Linked DNA regions of Anolis sagrei. The main gene of each other region encodes a partner of the protein of the gene in region 2 in a complex. Links are inferred from orthologs where the notes say so. Each region holds a gene or a part of one and is shown on either strand. Other genes may lie near its edges.

Region 1 (7,776 bases), on a different chromosome or scaffold from region 2:
TGGAGCTTGAGCACCTCAAAGATGTCATGAGCGAAACCATGAAAGGCCACCCAAGACGGGATGGTCATGACAGAGAGGTCAGACCAAGCACGATCCCTGGGGAAGACAATAGCAAACCTCCCCAGTATTCTTGCCAAGAAAACGAAATGGACCAGTACAACCAGAGATATGTTGGTATGCCATTGGATGATGGGACTCCCAGGTTGGAAGTTGGCCAAAATGCTACTGGGGAGGAGCAGAGGATAAGTTCAACTAGCCCCAGATGTGATGATGCAGATAGCTTAAAGCCGAAAGGAAGGCTAGTGGCCAACGGTGCTGGAGGTGAATGACGAATCCGATGCTCTAAAGAGCAACACACCAAATGAAAAAGGAAAGAGGGTCCGACCAAGGACAAGATGGATGGATGGCATCCTAGAAGTGACTGGATTGACCTTGAAGGAGCTGGGGGTGGTGATAGCCGACAGGGAGCTCTGGTGTGGGCTGATCCATGAGGTCACGAAGAGTCGGAAGCAACAAAATTTAGTTTCTAGAAGTAGGAGGTCTGGTTTTTCTAAGGATGTTTCAGGGTCACATTAAATTTGAAGAGAAAGTTGGGTAAATACTACATGCTACAAGTTACATATATCTATTACAGATAATTAATGTAATATAATATTATAACATATATGTATGCATGAAGATTATTGGCTTTTATATATACATTTGGTGGATATTTAAGTTGGAGAAGCAATATGTACAATATAAGTTTATTTATTTATTTATTGTGTCAGGGGCAGACCAAACAGTTGCATTGCATTTTTTTAACAAACAAAACAAACAAACAAAGCTTGTCAGTTTGCAAAGTTTGCAAGCTTAGTAGTTGATTAAATGTCCTTTGACCAGTAGCTGGCCACTTGGAGTGCCTCTGGTGTTGCTGCAAGAAGGTCCTCCATTGTGCATGTGGCATTCACTCAAGTTTAAGACATTTTCAACCGAAAATCCATGCAAACTATTCCTAACTAGAACTGTTTCCATCTAGATAACAGCAATAGTGCCATCAGCTACTTCTTCCCCACCCCCCCCCCCCATATCATATGCAAAAAAACAAAAAAAAAAAAAAACCCCAAAAAACCCCAATGTATTTTTTTTTTAGGAAATTCCTTACAAGGCAAGAAATATATCTTCATGATCAAGAGAGTTTCAGAGTATGTCCAAATACATCCTGATATCACATTAATAAAAAAAAAAACATAAGAATGGGAGCAGGCAACAAAGTACTCTCTTATGACTAGAGCTTTCTAACTATTTTACATACACAGGCATGGGCAACTGCAAAAACCCAATTTGTTTTTTTTTTTAAGATATTTTATTATGTTATACACACAGATCAATAAGCCAAATTCCAAGTGTTACACATATAAATCCTGAGTCATTCAACAAATATTAAAGACATTATGTTAATTTACTCTGGTGTATATTACATTATCTCCACCTTCCCTCCCTCTCCCTCCCTCTTTAACCACAGTATATTTCTACTAATCTTGCAGATCCAGCCACTGGTAGAGTCTTTGTATTTTTTTTTCTTTGATGTGATCGTTGGCTTCTCCATTTTTCACCCAGTTGAAGTAGACCTTCCATCTATTTGTAATGATCTTTTCTTTGTCCATTCTTGGTGTTTGCTTAGTCATAATTCCCGTAATATCTAACAGCACTTGGTCATACATATAATCATTCCAATTACTTAACGTCCATTTCGATTTGTCTTTCCATCCTCTAGCAATCACCGCATGGGCTGCTCTTATTGTTACCTTAAATAACTCCTGGCAATTAGTTATTATACTCGGATGATCCAACACTCCCCATAGTAGCAAATCATTATTAATTTGAATTTTTATCTGGAATATCTCCTGAATTTTTCCTTGTATCAAAAACCCAATTTGCATAAATTGAAAAATGTCCAAAATCATTTTGATTATGATTATGATTTTTGATTATGATTTATTTATTTTGAACATTTCTACCCTGTCCTTCTGTTATGCACTCATATGCACACATGCGGATCTACTTATATATATACTAAGATGTTCATATTTGTGCATATACATTCCAGTGAAAAACGGAGTGAATTTTTTAAAAACCTCTTCCATTGGATGTCCCTTGTACATCCTCCATCTTGGAGATATGATAGCTTTGTATAAATATGTCAGAGGAAGCCACAGGGAGGAGGGAGCAAGCTTGTTTTATGCTTCTCTGGAGACTAGGACAGGGAACAATGGCTTCAAACTACAAGAAAGGAGATTCCATCTGAACATGAGGAAGAACTTCCTGATTGTGAGAGCCGTTCAGCAGTGGAACTCTCTGCCCCGGAGTGTGGTGGACGCTCCTTCTTTGGAAGCTTTTAAACAGAGGCTGGATGGCCATCTGTCAGGGGTGATTTAATTGCAATATTCCTGCTTCTTGGCAGGTGGTTGGACTGGATGGCCCATGAGGTCTCTTCCAACTCTGTGATTCTATGATTCCATGATTGTTCCGATACAGAGGAAGGCTGTGAGGATGGCAAGGGACTCAATCCCGGGATTAACAGGTCTGTGTGGGGATCTGCAGTCTGGGATTTTTGTCATCATTTAAAATGCGGGTTTTGGCACTGTCTGGAAGCACTCTAAGAGACTGTAGCTGGACTGGAACGTTCCTGTCTTGAACCAGAAGAGAGTGAAAACAATACTTTGCAGTGGTCCCCTTTGGCACTCTTTTGTCACCCAGCAATCCACTTGGTAGAACCAGGAAACCAGCAGCTCTACAAGCAGTGTAATAACAAGCTGGCCATTGAGCTTTCTTGGCTAGGAAGAGCTTCCTATTTGGACTGAGTGCTTTAATGATGAACAGGAACAATCCTCCTGTTTTTCGGTGTATTCTTTAGTTCTGACTGCTGTTTGTTCCTTTGGTCAGGCTGCCGGGCACAAATCCCGATTCCTGGCATCCATCTGCCTGTTGCCTATGACCAAGTTCTGGCACTGCCACCCTGGCTGGCTTTCTGTTTCTGGCACATTTAAAAGAACATTTTCTTGTGTGCTTTAATGTTTTTGAGCAATATGTTCCTTGGATTTATTTATTTATTTATTTTGCTTGCCTTGTCATCAGTTTAGGATTATTATTTTTTTTTAAAAAAAACAATAACAGAATATCTTGTGGGAGTGGAAACATATTTTTGTTCTCCCAATTTTGGTAAGATGTCTATTGACTTTTGACAGGTTCTTTCAATATAATCACTCTTTGCTACAACTGAGAAAGCAACACAAAAAGAACTTTAATGTGGGCACCTGGCTTGATGACATTCTCCAGCTATATTGCTCTACCTGAATCATTCGCCATCACAGCTTTAAAACACTTTACATGCCATGTATTTGGCTTTTTAGATTTACAGGGATAGCTCAGGAAGTGCAAACAATGAAGTGATTCTATGGAACAAGTATATATGATCAGGTGAGAATAAGAGTAGAAGGGACAGAAGTCTAGAGAAGGTGGACAACTTGACCAGCTGGTGATTGAAGATGTGCTAGGTAGTTGACATCCTGCCTCACACACCCCGACCTCAGTCTAGTCTTACTGGAAGCCAGGTCAATTGTGAGCTCAGGAAACCTACTATTATCATGAATACTACAAGCAGAAAGAAGAGTAGTTTTCATCATGGTGCCCAGGATCTTTGGTGTGTCTGTCAGCATAGCTTACAAAAATAGCAGGTTCTGAAAGTACGGTATCACTTAGACAAATGGTGTTTGGCACGAGTGGCAGTTGGGCATGCTTCCAATACATGACCTAGTTGGCTGGTGAATTAGCCTGTTGAACCTAGAAGGCATAGAGCCGGGGTCCTCAAACTTTTTAAACAGAGGGCCAGGACACAGTCCCTCAAACTGTTGAAGGGCCGGATTATAATTTGAAAAACAACCCATGAATGAATTCCTATGTATTCCTGACTGTGAGAGCCGTTCAGCAGTGGAACTCTCTGCCCCGGAGTGTGGTGGAGGCTCCTTCTTTGGAAGCTTTTAAACAGAGGCTGGATGGCCATCTGTCAGGGGTGATTTGAATGCAATATTCCTGCTTCTTGGATATTTCAAGGTACACAACCTCGGCTTTGGATATGAAACATTCAATCCCCCTGAAGCTATGTAAACACGGTGTACAGAGAGGCATTTTCTGTGGCGACTTGGTTCCACCTCCATTTTTTTGGTCGTGTCAGGAGCGACTTGAGAAACTGCAAGTTGCTTCTGGTGTGAGAGAATTGGCCTTCTGCAAGACGTTGCCCAGGGGATGCCCGGATGATTTGATGTTTTTATCCTTGTGGGAGGCTTCTCTCATGTCCCCGCATGAAGAGCTGGAGCTGATAGAGGGAGCTCATCCGCCTCTCCCGGGAGACCTCCATGGTGGCTGCCTATGGCCTCCAGTTCTGTGTGTGAGAGAGGAAAGAGGGGAGGGCGACCCTCTTTGTTTGCTTGCCCCTTCTTGCCGGCGTGGGCTTTGAGATACATGGCAAGAGAGAGAGAGAGAGAGAGAGAGAGAGAGAAATCTGGCCGGAGACTCGCGAAGAGAGCCACGCCTCCCGCTTCCGAAATCAGCCGAAATCAACTCCACTTCCGGCGTCGGAGAAAGGAGGGGGAGAGCAAGGGAGGAGGGAAACGTTGCTATTAATAGCCCCGCTCTCTGATTGGCCCGCGGGAGCAAAATAGGGGGGAGGGAAAAAAAAAAGGAGGTTTGTACCACGTGACTTTCCATCTGAAAACTCCAAGATGGCGGGTCCCGTCACGGGCTGATTCCGTTGGCGGCGCGCGCACCGTTGTGCCAGCGCCGAGGGCTTGCCTGCCTGCTTGCTTTCCTCCCTTCCCCGCATTCTCTGCGGGTCTTGCCGTCTGAATGTCTCCGGCTGAGGTAAGTGCTTGGCCCGGAAAAAAAAACCCCGTTCTGAGGCCAGTTATTATTCTGCAGTCGTTATTCGCACTTCCCCTTTAAACAAAAAAGCGGGGGGAGAGATAGAGGGAAATTGTGTCCTCCGGCTTTTAAAGCAGCCTTAAAGGGTCCCTTTCTGTTTCGAAACGTGTGCCTGGTAAGACCCCAACCGCGGTGGGAGGGGATGCAAAGGAGGAAGAGCGCGCGGAGGGAGGGAGGGCAAGGAGGGGGAAGGGCAATAGAATGCCCAGGGCTGGAGTGTGTGGGGGTCGCGCGCGCGGGGAGGGGGGGTAGTAGGAAGGCGGCTGAGTGGCGCTTCGAAGCACCAATCAGGGCCCCGTTGGCCGCCTTGGCGGGTGCTTTTGAGCCCATGTTCTCGGATGCCCCGGCGTTGGGTGAAGAGGCGGGGTGAGGGTAGGGGCGGGCCTTGAGCCCTTGACTGACACCTGCTCCGACCTATCGGAGGGGAGCCGCCCTTTCGGCGGAGAGCGCCGCTGTATTTACCCCTTCGCTGGGAACCCATCCCTCCCTCCCTCCTTCCTTCCTTGCCTCGCGCGCTGGCTCCGTTTTATGAATGAGGCGGGTGGGTCCCGGAGCCGCGCCCGTCTCGCCTCCCAAGCAAGCCCCTCCCTCTTCCTCGCCTTCTGGGCCGAAGGGGTGAGTAGAGCGTGCGCTTCAGGGAAGGAGGGAGATGCGGTGGAGCCGAGGGCGAGGCTGGGCGGTGTCCCGGCTGCCAAGAGGAGGGAGGAGAGGAAAGGAGAGGAGAGGAAGGCCGCTCGCCTTTTCGCCTGCCTCAGGGCACGATTTCAGTCAGGCAGTCGGTCAGTCAGTCATCCTCCTGCGGTGTAATGGCTGGGATATTGACAGAGGAAGAAGAGCAGGCCGGGCCTTCTGAATGGAGCGCTTTGACTCCTGGGAAAATGGCCCTGGCAAAGAACAGCCTCGGTGCGGTCCTTTCCAGGCTGTGGTACCCGAAGCTTTTGTCTGGGCAGCTCTGCTGATAGATAAGCAGGAGCAGGCCCTCTCTCTCTTGTTTGAAGCAGGAGCGATCAGGCCTCTCCTAGGATTTAAGGCTCTTTGCTGAGTCCACCCCACAGGGTTGTAGGCAAAATGGAAAGAGGAAGCCAAACGGAACCTCCAGGAAAAAGGATGGGGAAACAACCGTCTGCCAATGTGCATGTCTCATGTGCTCTTTCTGTGGGCCCTTCCGCACAGGCATATAACTCAGTATATCAATCAATCAAATCATTGATTGATTGCAGGTGAAACGTCACGAGAAATGCCTCTAGAACATGGCCATATAGCCCGAAAAAACCCACAAGAACTGAATCAAATCATTTATTTCGGTCATTGACCAGCACAGGAAATAGAGTCACATTTTCATACAAACTTGGTATGTTTGGTACATTAAAAATATAAATATAACTACTAAAGCACAATATGGGTGAGGGAGCAGAAGGGGAAACAGGTTAAAAACATACAATGCCCAGATCCATCACCAAATTGCAGATTCAGGGAAGAAGATTACTGGACACACAGTTGACTTTGGGACTAGTCATTCCCTGGCAAATTTTTTATGCTGCTGCACAGAACTTTGCAACATTGTAGGTTGTAGCTGAATTAGTATCTGCAAGTAGCATGGAGGTATAAAATTGTCCTGAATGGCCTGGGTGCTTGTATATCAGAGGTAAGATAAGCCTGGCACGGATATCCCTGTAGAACGGGCTCCCTCAGTATATCATAGAACAGTCTTTCTCAACCTGGGGGTCGTGTCAGGAGGGACTTATTTATTTATCGTGTTATTAGCAACCATACCATTGTATTACATTTTTGACAGAACAAAACAAACAAACAGATTTTTAAAAAACACAGATTTTGCAAACTTGGTAGTTGATTAAATGTCCTTTGACCAGTATCTGGCCACTTGGAGTGCCTCTGGTGTTGCCGCAAGAAGGTCCTCCATTGTGTGTGTGGCAGGGCTCAGGGTGCATTGCAGCAGGTGGTCAGTGGTTTGTTCTTCTCCACACTCGCATGCCGTGGATTCCACTTTGTGGCCCCATTTCTTGAGGTTGGCTCTGCATCTCGTGGTGCCAGAGCGCAGTCTGTTCAGCGCCTTCCAAGTCGCCCAGTCTTCTGAGTGCCCAGGGGGGAGTCTCTCATCTGGTATCACCCATGAATTGAGGTGCTGGGTTTGGGCCTGCCACTTTTGGACTCTCGCTTGCTGGGGTGTTCCAGCAAGTGTCTCTGTAGATCTAGGAAAACTATGTCTTGATTTAAGTCGTTGACGTGCTGGCTGATACCCAAACAGGGGATGAGCTGGAGATGTTTCTGCCTTGGTCCTTTCACTATTGTCTGCTACTTCCCGGCGGATGTCAGGTGGTGCAATACCAGCTAAGCAGTGTAATTTCTCCAGTGGTGTGGGGCGCAGACACCCTGTGATAATGTTCAGGCAGTGCTTCTTGTAGGTCAGAGCACGGTCCAGAGTGACTCCCGGGTATTTGGGTGTGCTGCAATGCTCCAGTGGGATTCCTTCCCAGGTAATCCTCAGAGCACGGGATGCTTGTCTGTTCTTAAGGTGAAAGGCGCATGTCATGGGTCATCCAGTCCAACCCCCTGCCAAGAAGCAGGAATATTGCATTCAAAGCACCCCTGACAGATGACCATCCAGCCTCTGTTTAAAAACTTCCAAAGAAGGAGCCTCCACCACACTCTGGGGCAGAGAGTTCCACTACTGAACGGCTCTCACAGTCAGGAAGTTCTTCCTCATGTACAGATGGAATCTCCTCTCTTGTAGTTTGAAGCCATTGTTTCATGACCTAGTCTCCAGGGCAGCAGAATACAAGCTTGCTCCCTCCTCCC
Region 2 (7,860 bases):
ATAGGAATCAGAACCGGAGCCAATGTATTGAACAAAATCTACCAATTCCTTTCCAAGCAATACAAATGATAACAACAGCCCAGTTTGTGTCATATTGGAAGAGTAGTACTGGAATAGTAAAAAAGAAAAATGGCTGGACATTCTGTCTTTCAATCCATCCTTCGATTTTTGCACAACCTCCCCTTTTTGCTATATATTAATTTAAATTGCACTCCTTCCCATCTTTGGAAATCACTCTTTTCCATTTGTAACTCTCCTTTTCCCCCCTCTGTTCTTGTCTCTATGCGTTACGTTCGAGGGTATCCATATATGCATATGTAGTGCAAGCAGACACACACCTATGTGTGGACCTATATATGTGTATACCTCTCTCTCTACATGTATATGGGGTATCTATATATGCATGTGTGTGCGTGCAGACCAATACCTATATGTCGACCTATATATGCATAGCCCCCCTCTCTATATATGGGGGTATCTATATATAGATATGTGTGTGTGTGCAGACCAACATCTATATGTGGATCTGTGTGTGTGTGTGTATGGGTGTATCTATATGTACATGTGTATGTGCAGACCGATACCTATATGTGGATCTGTGTGTGTTTGTCTGTATCTATACGTACACATGTATGTGCAGACCAACACCTATATATGGATCTATATATGCGTATACCCCTCTCGCTATATATGGGCGTTTCTATATATACATATGTATGTGTGCAGACCAACACCTATATGTGGACCTATGTATGTATATACCCCCCTCTCTCTATATGGGGGTATCTATATATACATGTGTGTGTGTGTGTGCAAACCAACAACTATATGTGGATCTATATATGAGTATACTCCCCTTCTCTCTCTATATATGGGGGTATCTATATATACATCTATGTGTGCAGACCAACACCGATATGTGGATCTATATATGCATATACCTCTCTCTCTCTCTCTCTATATATATATATATATGCATATATTACACATAAAATATATATGTGTATAAATATATATGTGCATAAGTATACATATTATATATGTGATACATATACATATAGGTGTGTGCATTTATGTATATTATGTGTGTGAAGGTGCATAAGTATGACCCAAAATACATTGGGGCAAATGAGAAATTGTAGCTAAATGTACCTTTAGTTGCAAAATACTCACATATAGATAGATAGCTAGAAATAGATAGATATAATATACGAGTTTGCTAATTTTTCCCATTTATGGGGACTTTTAGGCCACCCTACACATATGTGTATATCTATGTACACTAAATATGTGTGAGCATAGATAATTATGCATATATGTATATATAATATGTATGTATATATATTAATAAGCTATTAATACCCCGGAAATCTATATATTAATACCCCAGAAATCTATACATTAATACCCTAGAAATCTATACATTAATACCCCAGGAATCAATAGATATTAATAAACCCGAAATTAATATATATTAGTATATACATAAATTAGTATACATATTAGTACCCCAGAAATCAATATATATGAATAGCCCTGAAATTAAAATATATTTACCCCAGATATCAATATATATATTAATACCCCAGAAATCAATATATATTAATACCTCAGAAATCAATATATATTAATACCCCAGAAATTAATATATATGAATAGCCCTGAAATCAATATATATTAATACCCCAGAAATAAATATATATTAATACCCCAGAAATTAATCTATATTAATACCCCAGAAATCAATACATATTAATACACCAGAAATTAATATATACGAATAGCCCTGAAAGTAATATATATTAATACCTCAAAAATCAATATATATGAATAGTTCTAAAATTAATACATATTTACCCCAGATATCAATATATATATTAATACCCCAGAAATTAATCTATATTAATACCTCAGAAATTAATATATATTAATACACCTGAAATTAATATATATTAATATACCAGAAATTAATATATATCAATACCCCAGAAATTATTATATATTAATACCCCAGAAATCAATATATATGAATAGCCCTGAAATTAATCTATATTTACCCCAGATATCAATATATATTAATACCTCAAAATCAATATATATGAATAGTTCTGAGATTAATATATATTTACCCCAGAAATTAATATATATTAATACCCCAGAAATTATTATATATTTATCCCTGAAATCAATATATATTAATATCCCCAAAATTAATATATATTAATACATCAGAAATCAATATATATGAGTAGCCCTGAAATTAATATATATAAATACACCAGAAATCAATATATATTAATACACCAGAAATTTATATATATTAATACACCAGAAATTTATATATATTAATACCCCGGCATCAATATATATGAATAAATATTAATACATATTATTCCAGATATCAATATATATTAATACCCCAGAAATATTGATTTTTGAGGTAAATATATATTAATTTATGGGATATTAATACAGATTTACCTCAAAAATCAATATATATGAATAGCCCTGAGATTAATCTATCTTTACCTCAAAAACCTCTATGAATAGCCCTGAAATGAATAGATATATAGGTATCAATAGCCCAGAAACCAATAGATATCGATTCCCCAATAGAGATCAATGGGGGCGAAAAAGGAGGCGGGCGGGCGCCAAACACTCACGTTCTTCATGGCAGCCGCCATGTCGTCGTAGCGCTCAGCCTGCTCGGCCAGCCGGGCTTTCTGCACCAGCTGCTCACGGTCCACCATCTTCCTGGATTGCGGTTGTTTTTAAAATAGATAGAAATAGTAAAATTTAAATATATCTATTCAAAAGACAAGAAGATGGGGAAATTTCTCGCCCGACCGAGTCGCCTCGGAGAGAGAAACACAAAACCAACCGGGCTGAAGGAGAGAGAGAGAGAGGAGAAAAAGAGCAAGCGAGCGATCTGATTGGCTGGCCGGGCTTCAGAGAGGGAAAGAGAGGGAGAGAGACGGAGAGCGCGCACAAGGCTCCTTCCCCGCTCGCGCCGCGACTGCTCTGACGGCAGAGGCGACGCAGCGAAGGCGGCGGCGCGCCTCTGCGCATGCGCGGCATTCCTGCCAAACAGAAGCCCCGCCCCTTTCTCTCCCTCCTTTTTCCCCCGCCCCTCTGCGCTTGCGCGGCCCTCCTGCCAAACAGAAGCCCCGCCTCTTTCTCTCCGGAGAGCCACGCCCTCCTTTTCCTCTTCTCTAAAACGCTCCCGCCCTCTCCCCGCGCGCAAAGCACGACGGGAGATAGAGTTCCCTTGCCGAATGATAGTAACGCGGTCAGAGCTGAAGCCGCGGCGGAGGGGACTACATTTCCCAGCAAGCCACGCGCGCTGCTTTTTGTCCTCAAGCCACACACTCATTCAGGGCTTGGACTGGATGGCTCTTAGGAGTCCCTTTCCATTATATTGTATTATAATACATAATATTATAATATTTTAATACTATATTATAATATATAATATAGTAAATTATTAGTATTATATTATTTTTAATATATTATAGTTATATTATAATACATAATATTCTAATCTAATATTTAATACTATATTATAATATATTATATTATAATTAGTATCATATATAGAATATTATGATTATATTATAATACATATATTATAATTAGTATTATTTTATATATTACATTAGAATTATAATGTAATATATTATATATTATAATATATTACATTAGAATTATAATATTATTTTATAATATATTCTATTATAATTATATTATAATATAGTATAATATATAATATATTACATTTTAATTAGTATAATAATGTTATATATACTATTATAATTGGTATTATATTATATAGTATATTATAATTATATTATAATACATAATATTATAACATAATATTAACATTCCAAATTATAATATATTCTGTTATAATTAGTATTATATTATAATATATTACATTATATTTATGTTATATTATAACATATTATATCTTCTATATAATATATTTTATATTGAATGTTTTATATTGTGTATAAACTGTTTTAAATTGTAAGTCGCTCGGAGCACCTTGGTAGAGAGCGACTAATTAAGAAATAAAGTGATGATGATGATATAATTATTAGTATTATAATATTATGTTATAATATATTATATTATAATACTATATTATATTATAATTAGTATTATAATTTTGTAAGATAATATATAATAAACTTATTTATTATTTATTTATTTCGGTTACTTCTACCCCGCCCTTCTCACCCCGGAGGAGACTCAGGGTGGCTTACAAAGGCACAATTCGATGCCGACATCACATAACAGTAGTATAAAACAATCTAGCAGCAATTAACAGTTAAGAAACAGTTCTGCATATAACAATAAAACTAATAAGCCGATAAAACCACTAAAAACCAATTGCACCTCATTAACGGTCAGCGTTCGCCATCTCATAGTCCAGTTTCCAATTCCACTTTGTCAGTCCTGTCAGTCCTAATTGTCTGATTGTCCTTATCTAGTTGTCAGATTGCCCAAAGGCCTGGTCCCATAACCACGTCTTTACTTTCCTCCTGAAGGAGAGGAGGGAAGTTGATGACCTAATTTCCCCCAGGAGTGAGATCCACAGGTGAGGGGCCACCACTGAGAAGGCCCTGCTCCTCGTCTCCACCAACCTCACTTGTGATAGAGGTGGAGTTGAGAGCAGGGCCTAGCCAGATGACCTCAAACTCCGGGGTGGGACGTAGAGGGAGATGCGTTCGGACAGGTACGCTGGACCGGAACCGTATAGGGTTTTGTAGGTCAAAACCAGCACCTTGAATTGTGCTCGGAACTGGACCGACAGCCAGTGGAGCTGACACAACAGGGGGGTGGGGTGCTCCCTGTATGATGCTCTGGTGAGTAATCTGGCTGCCGCTCGCTGGACCAGTTGAAGTTTCCGAACAGTCTTCAAGGGCAACCCCCACGTAGAGTGTGTTGCAGTAGTCTATTCAGGATTATATTACATTATAATTAGTATTATAATGTTATATTATACGAACAGTCTTCAAGGGCAACCCCCACGTAGAGTGTGTTGCAGTAGTCTATTCAGGATTATATTACATTATAATTAGTATTATAATGTTATATTATAATATATTATATATTCGATTATAATTAGTATTATAATATTATAATACTAATATTCTAGGGGTCCCTTCCAAATCATTATGCGTATTGATAGATAAGGCACCATTCAATCCCTCCTGTCAGATGGCCATCCAGCCTCAGTTAAAAACACAAACCACAGAATTTCAGAGGTTGAAGGGATCCCAAAGGCCATCCAGTCCAACCCCATTCCTGCCATGTAAGAAAAACACCATGTAAGAAAAACACAAGAAAAACACCATCCGTCCTGACAGATGGTCATCCAGCCCTCTGATAATAATAATAATCTATACACCTAATGAAAATATCCTAGGGGTCCCTCTAAAGGCCATCCAGTCCAGTCCCCTTCTGCCAGGCAGGAAGGCACCATCAGATCCCTCCCAACAGATAGCCACCCAAGCTTGTGCTTCAAAGCCTCTAGAGGAGGAGACACAGTCCTTAATGTGGAGGTGGAATTCAAGCATAGAGCAAATGGGCTATAGGGCCATGGTCTAGAGGCATTCTCTCCTGACGTTTCGCCTGCATCTATGGCAAGCATCCTCAGAGGTAGTGAGCAAATGGCTTTTCCAGGTCTTTTTGTTTACGACCGCGCCTTTGGCCTCGGTGGATGAGCATTTAGTTATTAATCATTCATTAATAGTGTATTTATTATTAATTAACCCAGGACGATGGGCGTCAAAGGGTCCAGGTGGCAGACCCCACTATTATTTCCTCTCCTCGGCTGTGATGTCTTCTTGCCGCCCAAACATCTGCCAAATTGCCCCATTGTTTGGCTTCTTCCCTTTGTCTTTGCTCCATCCAATCCCAATGGGTTTCAAAGGGATGGCCCAGATCTTAAATTTGGACGTTCAAAGGTCCAGAAGGGATCCCCAAAGGCCATTTAGTACAACCCTTTCCAATCTGCGGTCATTTTGGATGTGCAAAGGCGTAGGATTGGAAGGGATCCCCAAAGGCCATCTAGTCCAACCCTTTTCTGCCATGCAGGAGGACACAATCAAAGCCCTCTTGACAGATGGTCCATCCAAACCTCTGCTTAAAACCTCAAAGAAGAAGATGGTCCAATGTGATCTCATCGTCCAAAGATAAATAATAAATAATAAATAAATAATAAATAAATAATAAATAAATAATAAATAAATAATAAATAAATAATAAATAAATAATAAATAAATAAATATGAATATAAATAAATAAATATAAATAAATAAATTGTCGAAGGCTTTCATGGCCGGAATCACTGGGTTGTTGTAGGTTTTTCCGGGCTATATGGCCATGTTCTAGAGGCATTTTCTCCTGACGTTTCGCCTGCATCTATGGCAAGCATCCTCAGAGGTAGTGAGGTCTGTTGGAACGAGGAAAAAGGGGTTTATATATCTGTGGAATGATGTCCAGGGTGGGACAAAGGACACTTGTCTGTTGGAACTAGGTGGGAATGTTTCAATGGACTACCTTGATTAGCATTTGATGGCCTGGCAGTGCCTGGAGCAATCTTTTGGTGAGAGGTGATTCGATGTCCTTGTTGGTTTGTTTCCTCTCTGTTGTCGTGCTGTTCTAATTTTAGAGTGTTTTTTTTTTTAAATACTGGTAGCCAGTATTATTAATGAATAAATAATAATAATAAATAAATAAATAAATAAATAATACTGGTAGCCAGATTTTGTTCATTTTCATGGTTTCCTCCTTTCTATTATTTATTATTAAATAATAAATAATAAATAAATAATATATATAAATAAATAATAAAGATGTTGAAGAGCCCCGAAAGGCCTAGGACAAAGCTGGGGCTGGATGGCCATCTGTCGGGAGTGATTAGATGGTGCCTTATTTGGCCACTGTGGGCTCATGCTCAACCCATGGTTTAGTTAACCCTCCGACTATAATTTCTCTCTCCAGGAGGAAGGAAAAAGGAGCAGCCATTGGACGGAAAGAACCCATAATAAATAAATAATAATTAATTAATTAATAAAAATAATAAATAATAATAAACAATAAATAAATAAAACATAATAATAATAATAATAATAAATAAGAAAGAAAGAAAGAAAGAAAGAAAGAAAGAAAGAAAGATGTTGAAGAGCCTCAAAAGGCCTTGGACAAAGCTGGGGCTGGATGGTCATCTGTCGGGAGTGATTAGTTGGTGCCTTCTTTGGCTACTGTGGGCTCATGCTCAACCCATGGTTTAGTTAACACTCCCGACTATCCCTTCTCTCTCCAGGAGGAAGGAAAGAGGAGCAGCCATTGGATGGAAAGAACCCATAATAAATAATAAAATAATAATAATAAATAATAATAAATAATAAATAATAAATAATAAATAAATAAATGATAATGAATGAATAAATAAATAAATAAAGATGTTGAAGAGCCCTGAAAGGCCTTGAACAAAGCTGGGACTGGGCGGCCATCTGTCGGGAGTGATTAGATTGTGCCTTTTTTGGCCGCTGTGGGCTCATGCTCAACTCGTGGTTTAGTTAACACTCCGGCTATCCGTTCTCTCTCCAGGAGGAAGGAAAGAGGAGCAGCCATTGGATGGAAAGAACCCATAATAAATAAATAAATAAATAAATAAATATTAATAAATAATAATAAACAATAAACAATAAATAATAATAATAATCAAGAAAGAAAGAAAGAAAGAAAGAAAGATGTTGAAGAGCCTCAAAAGGCCTTGGCCAAAGCTGGGGCTGGATGGTCATCTGTCGGGAGTGATTAGTTGGTGCCTTCTTTGGCCACTGTGGGCTC

The links.
Region 1: the proteins of YWHAG (region 2) and HDAC4 are in contact, whole or in part, in a crystal structure (PDB 3UZD), measured with the Homo sapiens proteins. The link is inferred for Anolis sagrei from reciprocal best matches to the Homo sapiens genes YWHAG and HDAC4. Residues at the interface, in NP_036611.2 of Homo sapiens: Asn43, Leu44, Ser46, Val47, Lys50, Asn51, Arg57, Phe122, Lys125, Arg132, Tyr133, Gly174, Leu177, Asn178, Val181, Glu185, Leu221, Ile222, Leu225, Asn229, Trp233; in NP_001365345.1 of Homo sapiens: Ser348, Pro349, Ser350, Leu351, Pro352, Asn353, Ile354, Leu356.

What each region holds. Positions count from the first base shown.
Region 1 is NC_090021.1:159,870,255-159,878,030, forward strand, and holds the start of HDAC4 (histone deacetylase 4), read left to right. Parts: upstream 1-4,729; 5' UTR 4,730-4,899; intron 4,900-5,053; exon of another isoform or gene 5,054-5,074; intron 5,075-5,426; exon of another isoform or gene 5,427-5,574; intron 5,575-7,776. UniProt on the Homo sapiens protein: Responsible for the deacetylation of lysine residues on the N-terminal part of the core histones (H2A, H2B, H3 and H4).
Region 2 is NC_090031.1:32,897,366-32,905,225, reverse strand, and holds the start of YWHAG (14-3-3 protein gamma), read right to left. Parts: upstream 3,048-7,860; 5' UTR 2,751-3,047; coding exon 2,664-2,750; intron 1-2,663. UniProt on the Homo sapiens protein: Adapter protein implicated in the regulation of a large spectrum of both general and specialized signaling pathways. Binds to a large number of partners, usually by recognition of a phosphoserine or phosphothreonine motif.